Linked DNA regions of Pelodiscus sinensis. The protein of the gene in region 1 interacts with the protein of each later gene in a pairwise test. Links are inferred from orthologs where the notes say so. Each region holds a gene or a part of one and is shown on either strand. Other genes may lie near its edges.

Region 1 (7,447 bases):
CTAGCCAGTGTTATGCAAGAGGTCAGACTAGTGATCTCTTTTGGCCTCCACCCTATGAATCTTTAATTATCAGGGGCACGAGGCAGTCCTTGCTAAACTTTCATGTTTGATCAATTCAGCAGGAACATTGCCTTATACACATATAAAAAGATACACCAAATGCACCCGCTATTTTGAAAAAATTATAAGACCATCCACCAAAACTAACAGTATTGGAAAAATGAATAAACACCAGCAAAGGGAAAATGTCAAAGAGTTTGGAGCTTGATTAAATGTCTGGAAGTTGATGCTTTTCTGAAGCTATGAAAACCCCATTCCTTGAGGTGGATAACTCCCCTCAGCCTCTTCCTCTCACTTTATGATATTATCTTCTTGAGATGAAGGAGGCCTGATAGTCTACTGCATCCATTGGGCCATTGACATCTTTGGGGACAGTCATCAGACCTCTCCCTTCTGCGGGGACTTCAGGGGATAAATCCCATGACAGATCTGCTAATAGGCAGGTGTGGAACCACGTGTGGAGAAGAGAATTGAAGAGAGCCTTGAGAAGATACACCATTGAAAGGCTTAAATGAAGAAGTGAAGAAGGCAGCAGTAGCAGGAAAAAAGACTGCCTTCTTCATGAATCACTGGGGATACATATTATCCAAGTGAGTGGTAATAATGAGCAGGAAGGAGTTTCTCTGTCTTGGATCTCTTCCACCTTTCCCACTCTCCCTCCCCCAATCCAGCTGACAGGCCTTATTTACATAGGAAATTTGTAATTCACCACTGGAACAGCTCCATGGCTGTAGCAACAGTGGAAGATGTAACATAGAGAGGACTCATCATATATCTATACTCTGAATGGCATGATCACTGGCATGACCCCCTGGGGAGCCACACTGGTGGTGAATTACATCTTCTAATTACCCATATTACCTAATAAGCAGCCAGAGTAGGTCAGGAGCAGGTTTTCAAGCAGTACCATTGTCAAGTACTGTCTGTATGCACCCTGCACAAGTCACTTGTCACTCATGGAATGATTGTGTTTCTTAGACCTAGTCATGGAGGGAGCTCATTTTGCAGCATGGTCCCACTTTCAGGGCAACTTTCAATTAGCACACACATTATTCTATGAGCATGGATTCAAAACACTTATATACATGGTAAAAAAATAGGTTGCAATCTTATTGTTGGATTTGGACAAATGCTATCATTGGCATGTTAATAAAAAAGGCATATTTACAGAGAAATTTAACTGTAGGTAATCAAGCCTGAGACTTTGTCTACACTACACAGCTTTTAGTGACTTGGCCATGTCGACACTGCCATGTTGCTAAAAGTCTGTCAGTGAGAACACTGGTAGTCAGCACTTTTGCCAACAAAATATTTCCACCCCCTATAAGTGGGGTTCATGTTGTTGACAGGAGAGCACTCCTGACAACAATTAGCCACTTGCCATGGCAAAACTTTTATCCTGGTAGGAAGGCTTTTTAAAGCACCTGCAATGACAAAAGTGCATGAACTAGCAGCAATGTGATAGAATTTCTAGGGGGGGTGTGTACATAAGAACATAAGAACGGCCGTACTGGGTCAGACCAAAGGTCCATCTAGCCCAGTATCCTGTCTGCCGACAGTGGCCAGCACCAGGTGTCCCAGAGAGGGTGGACCGAAGACAATGATCAGGAGATTTGTCTCCTGCCATCCCTCTCCAGCCTCTGACAAACAGAGGCCAAGGACACCATTTTATTCCCTGGCTAATAGCCTTTTATGGACCTAACCTCCATGAAATTATCTAGCTTCTCTTTAAAATCTATTATAGTCCTAGCCTTCACAGCCTCCTCTGGCAAGGAGTTCCACAGGTTGACTACACGCTGTGTGAAGAAGAACTTTCTTTTATTAGTTTTAAGCCTGCTACCCATTAATTTCATTTGGTGTCCTCTAGTTCTTCTATTTAGGGAACTAATAAATAACTTTTCTTTATTTGACCTCTCCACAGCACTCATGATTTTATATACCTCTATTATATCTCCCCTCAGTCTCCTCTTTTCTAAACTGAAAAGTCCCAGTCGCTTTAACCTCTCCTCAGATGGGACCCGTTCCAAACCCCTAATCATTTTAGTTGCTCTTTTCTGAACCCTTTCCAAGGCCAAAATATCTTTTTTGAGGTGAGGAGACCACATCTGTACACAGTATTCAAGATGTGGGCGTACCATAGTTTTATACAGGGGCAGTAAGATATTCTGGGTCTTATTCTCTATCCCTTTCTTAATAATTCCTAGCATCCTATTTGCCCTTTTGACCGCCGCTGCACACTGTATGGAAGTTTTCAGAGAACTCTCCACTATGTATAGTGTTTTTAAAAGCACTTAAGAGCAACTGTAATTTACACAACAAAGTAAAACACAGCTGCAATGGATAAGGAAAAGTGTTTCATTTTGTTATCAACATTTACATTAGCATGTTGAATGAAAGATTGTTGCGTGTAAACCAAGATTTTAAATGAGTTTTTATGACATCTGCAAACAATTATGCAATGTTTACAGATTATATGACACACTTACTAGTCAGATAAGCACTGAGAAGCATGAGTTTGCATACGCAATAGACAAAAAGATTTCACGAAGGGCTGCACAGGTACAATGAGCCTAAATCCGTTCAGATGCGTTTTTTACTTTTTTTTTTCTAGTTGGAAAACCACATTCACCACAAAATTATAATTAAGTCTTGCAAAAATTTGGGACAGGATATTAAACATCATGCTTTTGGATTAAGATAGTTTCCTGTTACAGACTAAGAAGACACTGTGGCTACGTCTACACTGGCCCCTTCTTCGGAAGGGGCATGCTAATTTTGAACTTGGGAATAGGGAAATCCGCGGGGGATTTAAATATCCCCCGCAGGATTTAAATAAACATGGCCACCGCTTTTTTTCCGGCTTGGGGAAAAGCCGGAAAAAAGCGTCTAGACTGGCGCGATCCTCCGGAATAAAGCCCTTTTCCAGAGGATCTCTTATTCCTACTTCGAAGTAGGAATAAGAGATCCTCCAGAAAAGGGCTTTATTCCGGAGGATCGCGCCAGTCTAGACGCTTTTTTCCGGCTTTTCCCCAAGCTGGAAAAAAAGCGGCGGCCATGTTTATTTAAATCCCTAATATAAGGGATGGGGGTGGTGAAACTATTCAACATCTGCCTATTACAGCATTCTTGCTTCTTTCTCTGAAACATCGGCACTGAGGCGCTGTCAGAGATGGACTAGATGGCCCTCAGGCCTGACACAGTCTGGCAATTCCATTGTCTTAAAAGACAGTTGATAGAAAGGTGCTGGGCTTTTGCCCATCCAAACCACAAACTAAACTTACCAATTCCATGAAGAAAACACAATCCACTGGAGTCAGGTGAAGGTCAATACTCCCTTTCTATCCAAACAATGATTGTAACAGAAAGCTGCATGCGGTGCTAGAGAAACTGCATCAATAAGCATTTGTATCTGTCATGTAAACTCTGAGCCTAGGATCAGTCCATATCTTGGGGTACATCTTCACAGCAGGGCAAAACTCGAATTAAGCTACACAACATCAGCTATGTCAATTGTGTAGCTGAAGTCAAAATAGCTTAATGCAGCTTTTGGCACTGTCTCCACAGCAGGAAGTTAAAGGAAGAACAATTTTCCTTCCACTTCTCTTACTTCTCCTGAAATGAGGGCTACCATGAGTTGAAGTAAGAAGTCCTCCAACTCCACATTATTTTGAAATAAAGGCTTGTAGTGTAGATGCATACTATGGGTACGACTATACTGCTGCTTTTTTTTCTAAAAAAGCTACGCAAAATGCATATTGCATTTTGCGTAGCTTTTTTCGATTCTTTCGTCGGAAGAGGCTTTGCTGACATTTGGCCCGTCTAGACTAGGCCAAATGTTAGAAAAAACCCTCTTTCAAAAGCCCCCTTATTCCTTGTGCAATGAAGAATACAGGGGCTTCTGAAAGAGCGCGTTTGCTCTCCCCCCAAAAACACAGAAGAGCAAACGGGTTCCCTGAACGCAGAACAGTTTTTCCAGGATACCTTTGCTATCTTGGAAAAACTGTGTAGTGTAGCCGTATCCTGTTATTTTGGGATACGCTCAGTTATTCCAAAATAATGCTGCTGTGTAGACTGCCCTTGCTGAGCTTCTGGAGAGAGGCTGGAAGGAAAGCCAGACTAGGTCTCCAGCCATAAAATTATGGACCATTGCCAGGAAACTCTCCCCCATGCCCCTGTGAGGTGGGGAGTCCCAAGAAAGGCTGTTGGGCTGTGTGTGCGCGCCTAGGCTTGCCCCTACACACAACCCCTTCCTCCATCTCCTCAGCCTGAGCCGGGGCCCCAGCCTGGCTTCCATCCAGCGCAGCGCGCGCGCTGGTCAGGAGGTGATGCGCTGCGCTAACCGGGGGCCAGCGCTCCCTTGTGTCTGCGCCTGGGGCAGGCGGGCTGGGCGCAGGGAGGGACTCGCTCTCACTTCCTCTTCGGCCTCGCTCTCCAGACAGCAGGTTGCTGCGCTGGGCGAGCGTCCGCGCGGCTGCCGAGCGAGGGACGGGGCGGGGCGGGGAGCCCCGCCTGCCACCCAGTCCGGAGCGCGGTCCCCAGGCGTGGGGCGCAAGCCGCAGGTAGGGCGGATGGGAAGAACAGAGCCGGGAGGAGGCAAGAAGATGAGCCGACCCAAGGGGCTTCCCAGCGAGGGGCAAGACGAGGAAGTGCTCGAGGAGCTGCAGAGCCTCGGGTAAGGGGCAGCGCGACCCCCCGGGCTTCGGGCAGCCAGCCCATTGCTGGCCCAGCTGTTACCCAGCTGCCGCTCCCTCCCGCTGGCCCGTAGCCTCCTTTCCCGCGCGGCTGGGAAGGCAGGAATGGCTCTGCATTGTGGGGATGGCGAGCAGGCATAGGAATCCCGGGCTGGGTCAGCCATGAGAGCTGCCCCAGATGGGCGGGGGGGAGGAGAAGGGAAGGGTCGCCGTGATGGTTGTCTCCTCTGACCCCCCCAGCTATGAGGAAGTTGTTGGCACCATCAGCTCGGTGTGTTTGCCTGCATGGGGCTCTCACTGCAGCTGGATGTACTTGTGTGGGACCAGCCCACAGGGGTCAGTGTGAGGGGCTGCTTCAGAATCACTGTTGGGAGAAAAAGAAGGAGGGTCTGTTAAACCACTCAAAATGTAAACAAAAAAGTGGAAAAATCTGCAGGCAACTGCATAGATAGAGGGGCATTCCGCAGCTGTCACGCCTGCAGCAGGTACTGAGTAGGGTTTGGGAGTTAGCATATTTTGCCTGGACATTTTAAACAGAATTGATCATTATTTTTCATCCATGTATGCAAAATAAAGGGACTTTCCCAAGGTGAGGAGAGAAAAAGAAAACCATTACAGGATTTCATGGGTTGCCAGAGCATTTGGAACTGTTTCCTAATTATGTCCAGTTCAGATATGGTCTAATGTATATGACTTACTGAGTTAGATTCTGTAATAGATAGACAGTTAGGTCTATCTATCTATCTATCTATCTATCTGACTGCATTAAATTAATTGTTGCACTCTGAATAACATTTGGTAATTATACATTTCTGTTGGAATCAATTGCCACAGTTGGCAATTTCAAAAGTGATGATAGTTTTATATTTCTTCCCCACTCACCTCCATAGTACTAATAACTTCACAGTACCAGGCCATCCCTTTGGTGACCTGATTGCATAGTTTTACTGTGATGACATCTCACCCAATATGGTATATGAGTGTGACTTTACAATGTTACAATCTCTGTATATTTGTTTCCTGGGAAATTTTGTGATGACAAAATACTGTCTTTTGCAGATCTTATCATGCAATGTCTAGCAGTTAGATGGTGTTGCAGAAAGAGAGCGTCATCACTGCTTTTGAGATTGTTCAGACGCTTCAGGGGGTAGCTGAATTAGTCTGTACAGGATAAAATTAAAAAACAACAAATGGTCTGGTAGCACTTTATAGACTAACAAAACATGTAGATGATATCATGAGCTTTCATGGGCACAGCCCACTTCTTCAGATGACCAGAGTTTTGAGTTTAGGATGTGCAAATCTAAAATAAAGAGGGGAGAAGGTGGGGAAGGAAAAAAAGGAGGGGGGCGGGAAACAAGGAGTAGAGGGTATGGAAATATCAAAGGGAAAAACAGGAAGGCAGAACTGAGAATCAGTGAGCACCTGAAGATTGGTTAGTTAAAAGGAACCAGATAAGAATCAAAGTCAATATATAGTACCCTTCCTAACACAGGAATCTACATAAAGGGCTGTTTGCACCTTCATTGAATGTTAGGTTGATAGTGTCCCAATCATCCCACATCATGATTGAGGCCTTTAGCATGAGAATTGAACTTGCAGATGAATTGTAATTCCAACTCCTCACTGTGTATTTGGCTAGTAGAATTGGTTTGTAATAAGACAGCCACTTGAAGATCTTTTAAACAGTGATCAGGAAGATTAAAGTGTTCCCTTTATGTGTCCATTGATTCTTTCCCATAGGGACTGTCCAGTTTGTCCAATATATATTGATGGCATAAATCAAATTACTGGATGTGTAGTCAAATGACCTTTTGATTTGGTCACTTATATTGTTGGCTCCAGTGATGAATTCGTTTGTATAGATATGTGGGCAGAGTTGGCACCGTGGTTGGTTGCAGGGCTGAGTTCCTGGATACTTATGATGTGGTTGTGTGTCATGGTTACCGGAAAGAATTTGTTTCAGGTTGGGGGATTGTCTGTAAGCGAGAATAGACTTTTCTCCCAAGGCCACTGAGAGTGAGGGATCATTTTCCAAGACGATTGTGTATAATGCACTGGAGGGGTCTGAGTTGTGGATTATAGGTAACAACAAGTGGAATTCTGTTATTTTCTCTTTTGGGTCTGTCTTGAAGTAGGTACTTTCTGGGTACTTTTTTGGCTTTGCCAATCTGTTTTATTAACTTCTCCAGGCGGTATTTCAGGTTTGGGAATGCTCTATATAGATCCTGTAGGTGTTTGTCTCTGTTTGTGGAATTGGAGCAAATCCGGTTGTATCTTAGGGTGTGGATGTATACAATAGATCGAGAAAGCTGTCTGGGATGGAAGCTGGAGGCATGAAGGTAAGTGTAGCGGTCGGTGGGTTTCCGGAATAGGGTGGTGGAAATTTGTCCATTATTTAACTGTACTGTAGTGTCCAGGAAGTGGATTTCATGTGTGGACTGGTCCAGGCTGAGGTTGATGGTGGGGTGGAAGTTGTTGAAATCCTTGTGAAATTCAAGAGTCTCTTTTCTGTGGGTCCATATGATGAAGATGTCGTCGATGTAGCGTAAGTAAAGTATGGGTGTTAGGGGGTGAGAGTAGAGGAAACGTTGTTCAAGGTCATCCATAAAGATGTTGTCATATTGTGGTGCCATGTGAGTGCCCATGGCTGTGCCGCTGACTTGGAGATACAGATTGTCTCTGAATTGGAAGTA
Region 2 (7,837 bases), on another chromosome or scaffold:
GTGACTACATAATTTGGTATGCTGATTTTAACAATGGCATCTATTTTGCTCTATCACGTAAGGATTTGTCACAAATCAAAAAGAAAAATTGGACATTTTTCATGCTTTTTATTACACCTTATGCGTTAACTTGGTAAATAGTAAGTTATAGTTTTTTAGAAGAGTGTTCCTTAAACTTTAAAAAATGGAGGAACACCAAACAATCTTTTTTGAGGAACACCAAGGACTTTTTGTTGAGGGGAAAAAAAAAATGTTGGGGGGAAAGTTATTGGTGGGGGGAGTTGCCTGTCCCATTAAGGGTGGCCATTTTGAACTCTGTTGCCCTCCACTGCACAACTCTGACTGCCTCGCGGCGCACCAGTGTGCCACGGATCACTGTTTAAGAAACACTGTTTTAGAAGGTCTGTTGTAAGTCCTTGTTTAAAGAACAAAGGAGCAAAGTGTAAAATTTAACAACTGAGTAATTTTAAATGATTAGATGTGACTGAATTGACACTTTTTTGACAACTTTTTACGCATTTCACCATCAGTCTCTCTTTTCAAGGACCAGCAGTAATCAGCCATCATGTTGACACCCCAGCATCCTTTATATCTCTTTTCCATCGTCTTGATCTCTTGATGAAAATCTTTCCCCCTGCTCTTCAATGACACTTCCAAGATTTTCAGGAAAATAATCCAGATGGGAGCGCAAAAAATTAACGTTCAAACTCATGTTGCATCCAAATCTTTCAAATTTGTTTAGCATGCTGCCAACAATGTTTTTATGATCAGGATCTTTGTTATTCCCTAAGAAGTGTTGTATGACATTTCTGAAGGCCACCCAACCATCTCTCTCTGTGTCATTCATGGTTTCTTCAAAGTTAGTGTCAAGAGTCAGTTTCCTGATTTAAGGACCCACAAAGTTCCTTAACTTTTTGGTAACTCAAAGCTGTGAACTTGTTGCAAATGTAGTTGAAACAGTCATCATTCTTGCTTAATGCTTTCACACATTGTTTAATCAAACCTAGCTTGATGTGGAGTGGAGGTAGCAGTCCATTGTTGGGCTCAATCAGTTTTTCATGAATTATATTCTTGGAGCCGGGAGTCAGACTCTCCCTTGGTGGCCACTGATTCCTTGCCCAATGAAGATCTCTTGCTCTGCTATCCCAGTCGCATAAAAAGGATGGCGTTTTTGTATAACCAGCCTGCTGACCAAGCAGCATACACAGCACCTTCAGATCTCCACATATGGTCCATTCATGCTCCATTTCAAGGAGAAGATTTTCATAGGTTTCTCTTAAGTGAACAGAATGGGCAATGGGCACAGAGGCATATCGATTGCCATTATGAAGTGGAACACCTTTTAGACTTGTCTTTGAAGAGTCAATAAACAGTCTCCAGTCACCTGGTTGGTAAACTGTCCCCAAGCTTTCTATTAGTCTGGCAATGTTATTGCAGTAAACCTACAGACCAGCCATAGAAAAATATGGAACAAAACCTTTCTCGTGGTTCCTATACCAAGCAAAACTTGTCCCAGGAAAAAGCAAATTCTTCACTTGAAGTCTGGATCCCAAAACCTCAGCAGAATCTTTAGGCAGATCCAGGTCTCTCACCAAGTCATTCAATTCACTTTGAGTGAAAAGTTGTGGCTCATTACTGGCATGTTCTGGTAGATACTCAGTATCGCCTCCAACATTATCAGCATCGGTGTAAATTAATTTAAGCATTTTGATGAATTCAATCAATTTGAAGTATTTTTGCATGCAAGTTCTTGAAAATGTCACTGCATATAGTTTTAAGTTCTTGAAAATAAGTCACAGAATATAATGTATAACACATAATAGCATTTTTTTAAAAAGTAGACTCCAGTTTTCAGAAAATCTGTACATCATGGGAAAAAATTGATATAATTTTTGAACTTGGCACCCCAAAATTAGTTAAGAACAGTTATTTGTTCTCAAACAATGGAACCCATGCATAAGGGTGTAATGAAACACAATGAAAACTACCTAGAGATCACTAATGCTTCATATTGTGCCCCTTGTTATCTTTAGCAGGAGCAACAAGAATATAAAAAAGGAAGTTTGGGCCATCTTGAATCAAAATTAGTGTCATATTTAGACTTGGGAATCAAAAGGTAATAGACACAAACACAGTAGCACAGAAATGCAAGCATCTCTAGGATGAGAGGGTGAATGCACAGAACTCTGACTGCTAACAGGGTGAGGTGAATTGTTATGGTTATGAACAATGGACTAAGCAAACATTGCTTTTTAAGATCTCAATTGAAAGTTTACTGTGTGTTTGAAATGGAGCTTATGTTTCTCTAGACCTAATGAGTAAAACCCATTTTTCAGAGAAAAATGTTTTATCGGGTTAAAGAAAACAAAAGAACATAGGTAAAATCTCTATGACCACTGTGTGTGTCTTCTCTGTCACATGCAGAATTATTCTGCTTCATAAAATTGCAGCTGCCTTATCTAGACCACAAGCTCCTAAAATCTAAAGGTACTATAAATCAAAATAATAACTTAATGCCTACAACCTTCATTTTAAATGTCACTGTTTGGAAGGAATGGAACTTACATATTTCTCTGTTTGGGCAGGAGAGCTCTTTTTGTAGAGAGGATACTTATTTCCATTATACTTTTCCAACAGAAACCTTCCATGCTCTCCCCAGTAGACTTAGTCTATTTTATTTGAGTGTCTCATAATAAAATATACCAGAGACGACCTCTGGGAATTGAAATTAGATAAGGTGTTTGATTTTAGGAGGAGCAGCATGGAACATAACTTTGGCAACAGTGCTTCGACTCTTGGAGGGGATTGAGGGATTTCAGGGATGGTGTAGAAAAGCCCTTTGCCTGTATGAAACTTCAGGCACTGTCACACGTTAACAACAGAATAAAACCTTAGCACTATTTAAATAATCAATTCACCAGGAACTCAGCCAGCCACCTACAAAAACTCATTTATTACTCCCTCATTGTTCTGGGAAGCATATCCTCAACCCTCTCCAGAAACCCTATAAAATAGATTTCTATTTTAGTAGATGGGACATCTTGTCTTCCCTTTATTGGATCAATAGAAGCTCCTCTCTATGCAGGAAAATTGCCCAGTATATCTACTGCAAAATAGCTCCCTTTATGGATATTATGCCAGAATGAGTCACTTGTCCTGGAATAATTATTCTACTTTTTGAGAGCAGTAATTATGCTGGAATAAAGTCACTTTTATTTTGAAATAAAGTCTACATTGGGAGCTTTAGTAGATATGCTGGGTCATTTTCCTGTGTAGAGGGGCCCTACAATTTAAACTATGTAATGAACTATGCACCTTTTTTCCTCTCTATCCAACTAAAATCCGGTAGTAGGGTATGTATTCTAGTATATATACCCTGCTGCTGTCTGTATGGAAAGTGCAAGCTCTCCATCTACTGGATCATTAGGGTAAAAGCTGCTACGGGGATGGGGAAACAGATTTCTGGTGAGCAGCAGTGTTCATGCTGAAGTCTGATGTGGCTGTAGCTGTTGGGTTTTTGCTCCACAGAGGAGACTTCAACACTGTTGGGCCAACCAGAGTTTTCTTCAAGTGGATAGAAACATTTGTTTTTAAGGCTGTTGTACTAGAAATATTTACATAGGACAAGGGTTTTGAAAGTCAATGGGAGTTATGCTTGTAAGTCACTTTATAGTTCTGAAAATCCCACACAAATTCTGGTGTCCTTCAGGGACATGGCATGGTCCACGCCAGGGCACTCCCTTTGCCATGTCCATGAAATCTGGAAGTGGGGGTTAAGGCTGTTGGGGACAGAAGTGATGGAAACTTTTGGAGACTTTTGTACCTCCTAATGTGAGGTATCCAATAGTTTTTTGAACTCTGGAAGTTGGGCAAGGGAATAGCCCTGAGAATACAAACAGGTGCTCCAGCAGTTGCTCCTTCTTGTGCTTTTATTTCGATCAGTTGTAATAATATGTCTTTTCTGTAGCATTAACACTTTTCTGGGCTGTCCCTTTCATTATTTCATCCTTTAAAAACATACCTATACTTTATTTCAGAAAGAGATTGAAAATTCACCTGCACTCTGGGTTTGGATGGGAACTTTGCCTGTTGTCCCTTGTTTGGCTCCCTGTTAGGGTGCACTGGGTGGCACAACCAGATGTGAGTTGCACGCTGCTCTGTCTCCCCACAAACAGGCTTTTCTTACCTCAAGGAGACTGGCCTGGCTCTACAGCGAGCTGGAGGTGAGGGTGCTGCTGGCACTGCCAGAGCCAGTTCTAGTACAGAGAAGGGGTGACCCAGAGAGTGAGAGCTGCCTGACTGGGACAGGGAAGTGACGATGGGCAAGAAGGGAAGAGCGGAGACCTGCAGCCCCTGCTGGCCTCTGGCACTGAGAGGAGCGGGCAGCAGGGTGCTCGGAATGGTGCCAGGTCATTGACTAGCACAGTGTTTCTCAACCAGTGGTACGAATACCCTCGGGCTACTCTAGAGATGGGGGGGGGGGGGGGGGGTGGTAACAGCAGCACAACTGAAATTTGGAGAAAACTGAATTTTTGTGGTGTTTTACAGCACTTTATTTTTATTTTTTTGTATTTTTTACACCCCAATATTTCATCGCCCGCCTGGCTCCGGTTAAGTTGTTTAAACAAATGCGGTGCAAGAAGGGGGGGGGGGGAGAAAGTGTGTCTGAAAACTGCAGGTACTGGGGCTTCTAATAATTAGTGTGTTAAAGGGGCACTTGCTATTTAAAAAACAAAAAAAGTTGCGAAACACTCGACCAGCCCATTCGGTGCCCGTCGAAGGGGCGGGCGGCAGCCCCCCACGCCGCTGGAGGGCGGTAGAGGCGGCGCCCGGGCCCGTTCCCGGGACTTCGGGTTGCAGCGCGCGGGTCTGGCCGACTCCTCGCGCGGCGGCGGCGGCGGCATGTGGAGGCCGGGGCCGGCGCGCGCTGCGGCCCGGGGGCTGCGCGCGGCCGCGGGGTGGCGAGGGGCGCTCGCGGGACCCGCCGCCTCCTGCCGCCAGCCCGTGAGTAGCGAGACGCCGCCGCGGCGGGGGGAGGGGAGCAAGGGGGGGGCCCTCGCGTGGGTCTGCAGGGCGAGTCTCTCCATGAGCAGCGTCAGCCGCGTGAGCTGCCCCTGCCGCGCTGCGACCGGGAGCGGAGGGCTCCTGCCCCCGGGAATGCAAAGCGCTGCGGGGGGGCGGTCCGACTAGGTGGCCGTAACACTGCTCTGTCAGCGGCGGGCGCGGTGCGGAGTCAGGTCGGAGCTGGCCGCGTGCAGAGATCCGCCGAGGAGGAGGAGGAGGAGGCGAGAGCCGGGGGAAGCCAGTTTTTCATTGGGCTTCCCAGCTTTTCATCTGGCTTCCCCCGGAGCACTGGACCCGCCCCCACGTGGCTGCCTCGGATGGAGCAATGTGGAGGGTGAGGGGGGCAGGTGGCAGATGGTGCACGGGGGAAGCCAGCGACAGCCCTGGCCATCACTAGACCGCAGGGGCAGGAACTCAGGCGCACCCCGTTAGTGGCCGCTTTTGAAAGTGTTGGCTAAAGTGACTTGTTCAAGGTTGCGTAGGAAGCCTGAGGCAAACCAAGGAACAGAAGGCCCATCTTCTGTTTTCTTTTCTAGTGCTTTAAACACAAGATGATTTTCCCCCTTTACTAGATGATAGTAAAAGGCAAGAGTATCCTAAACATGTATTTCTGCTTCAAGAATACAGACAGGGCTGGGTGTAGACTGGCATGATTTTCCGGAAATGCTTTTAACGGAAAAGTGTTCCGTTAAAAGCATTTTCGGAACAGAGTGTCTAGATTGGCACGAACGCTTTTCCGCAAAAGCACTTATTGCGGAAAAGCGTCCATGCCAATCTACACGCGCTTTTCTGCAAAAAAGCCCCGATCGCCATTTTTGCGATCAGGGATTTTTTGCGGAAAACAAATCTGAGCTGTCTACACTGGCCCTTTTGCACAACAGTTTTTCGCAAAAAGGACTTTTGCCCGAATGGGAGTGTCAAAGCTTTTCCGCAAGAAGCACTGATTTCTTACAATAGGAAGTCAGCGCTTTTGCGGAAATTCAAGCAGCCAGTGTAGACAGCTGGCAAGTTTTTCCGGAAAAGTGGCTGATTTTCCAGAAAAACTGGCCAGTCTAGACACAGCCACAGATGTATGGGTTGGGACTTCTGAGAGAGTTTTTGCTTCCTTGTTGGTTCTGTAAGATAACAAATGAACCTTTAACTTGAAAAAGAGCAGCTTTTGGGATTCTGTTTCTTAAATATTACACACACTGACATTTTGTACCATTGCTTTTGTTAATGTTTAATGTAACTTCTTTTTTTAGGATTCTCATCTTCAACAGTTAGACCGCGTTCTAAAGATTAAAAACAATAGTGTTCACTTTATTCATTTAAGAAATGCAGGAACTTTGAATGATAAAAGGTAAGTTTTTTTTCTGAATTAATTGTATCAGAATTCTGACAGTACATACAGATTCCAGAGAAAATATCTATAAATGTGGCAGCCATGAAAATGAATATAGTGTGATTGTTGATATGAACTAGGGGGAAAAGGTTAGCCTTTTGGGTAAGGAAAGGACTTGGAATTATCACTTCTGAATTCTCTTTCCAGGTTTGCCACAGATTTCTTGTGTGAAATCATTCATTCTTTAGTTTTGCCATCTGTAAGGTAGACTAAATGGTTCCTCAGATATCTGAGATAATTGGCGTGAGACACTCCTGAAGAGTGTTTTATGGTAACTGTCATACTTTTGCCTTGTCACATTGTTTGATACTGCAGACATTTAACTGAATTGTGTATTGCTATAAGTATGCATGCACAATACCCAGATACGCAAACTAGATGAAAGGGTACTACTGAATTTGATCTTTTTTTTGGGAGACCTCATTTTTTAGGGCTGCAGCTGCCTCTATTTCTCCTTTGGAAAAGTGGAGATGTTGAGAGATTTGCCTAATTTGTAACATGTTTTGAGATTACTGGACGAACACTAATTAGAAGTGCAAAATTATTATTTTGTTGGAATGAATAGGACTTACAAAAGAATATGAATGATGAGCACTTCACTTTGTTTACAAATGCAGTTGCTGTTTCCTGTATAATAAGTATATGTTTATAAATACAAATTATTTAGATTTACCTTGCAGATGTAGTCTGTCCTTGCAAGAACTGCTTAATCTTTAACAATGTTGTATTTTATAATCAAGAAGTCTTCCATCAGTAACATTCTGGGCATAGAAGTAACTGGAGAAAGACACCTATTTAGTCCAATTAGCTGTCTATAATTTCAGATTTAAAAAAAATCCACCTCATTTATAAGGTTGCTTTATGGTATGTGGTAATTTATGACAGAGTACCTCCAATCGCATGGGACTATCTCATGGTTAACATGTTCCCATGATGATATTGCTCCTGTTTTGCATTTGTTACAAAAAAAGAGTTTCATGCTAAAGTAATACATATTTTCTCCTATAATAGTAATAGAGATGTAGCTGTGTTAGTCTGGTCTTGCTGAAACAAAAGACAGGACTATGCAGCACTTTAAAGACTAACAAGATGGTTTATTAGGTGATGAGCTTTCGTGGGCCAGACCCACTTCCTCAGATCAAATTGTGGAAGAAAATTGGCATGACCATATATATCAAAGGGATACAATAAAAAAATATGAACGCACATAAAATTGACAAATCAGATTTTAGAACAGAAAGGGGGTGAGGGCGGGAGGTTAGTGTCTATGAGATGATGTTGGGGTGATAACTGGGGAAGCTATCTTTGTAATGGGTAAGGTAGTTAGCATCTTTAAGGCCCATTCGTAAACAATTTTATAATTGTTCACTTTTTTTGATTGTATCCCTT

Evidence for each region. The genes of interacting proteins can lie anywhere in the genome.
Region 2: the proteins of DAPP1 (region 1) and FXN interact in binary tests that used the Homo sapiens proteins (3 or more experiments, as listed by UniProt). The link is inferred for Pelodiscus sinensis from reciprocal best matches to the Homo sapiens genes DAPP1 and FXN.

Annotation. Positions count from the first base shown.
Region 1 is NC_134715.1:23,289,750-23,297,196, forward strand, and holds the start of DAPP1 (dual adapter for phosphotyrosine and 3-phosphotyrosine and 3-phosphoinositide), read left to right. Parts: upstream 1-4,443; 5' UTR 4,444-4,628; coding exon 4,629-4,732; intron 4,733-7,447. UniProt on the Homo sapiens protein: May act as a B-cell-associated adapter that regulates B-cell antigen receptor (BCR)-signaling downstream of PI3K.
Region 2 is NC_134716.1:32,175,282-32,183,118, forward strand, and holds the start of FXN (frataxin, mitochondrial), read left to right. Parts: upstream 1-4,823; 5' UTR 4,824-4,902; coding exon 4,903-5,004; intron 5,005-5,111; exon of another isoform or gene 5,112-5,389; coding exon of another isoform or gene 5,390-5,398; intron 5,399-6,308; coding exon 6,309-6,406; intron 6,407-7,837.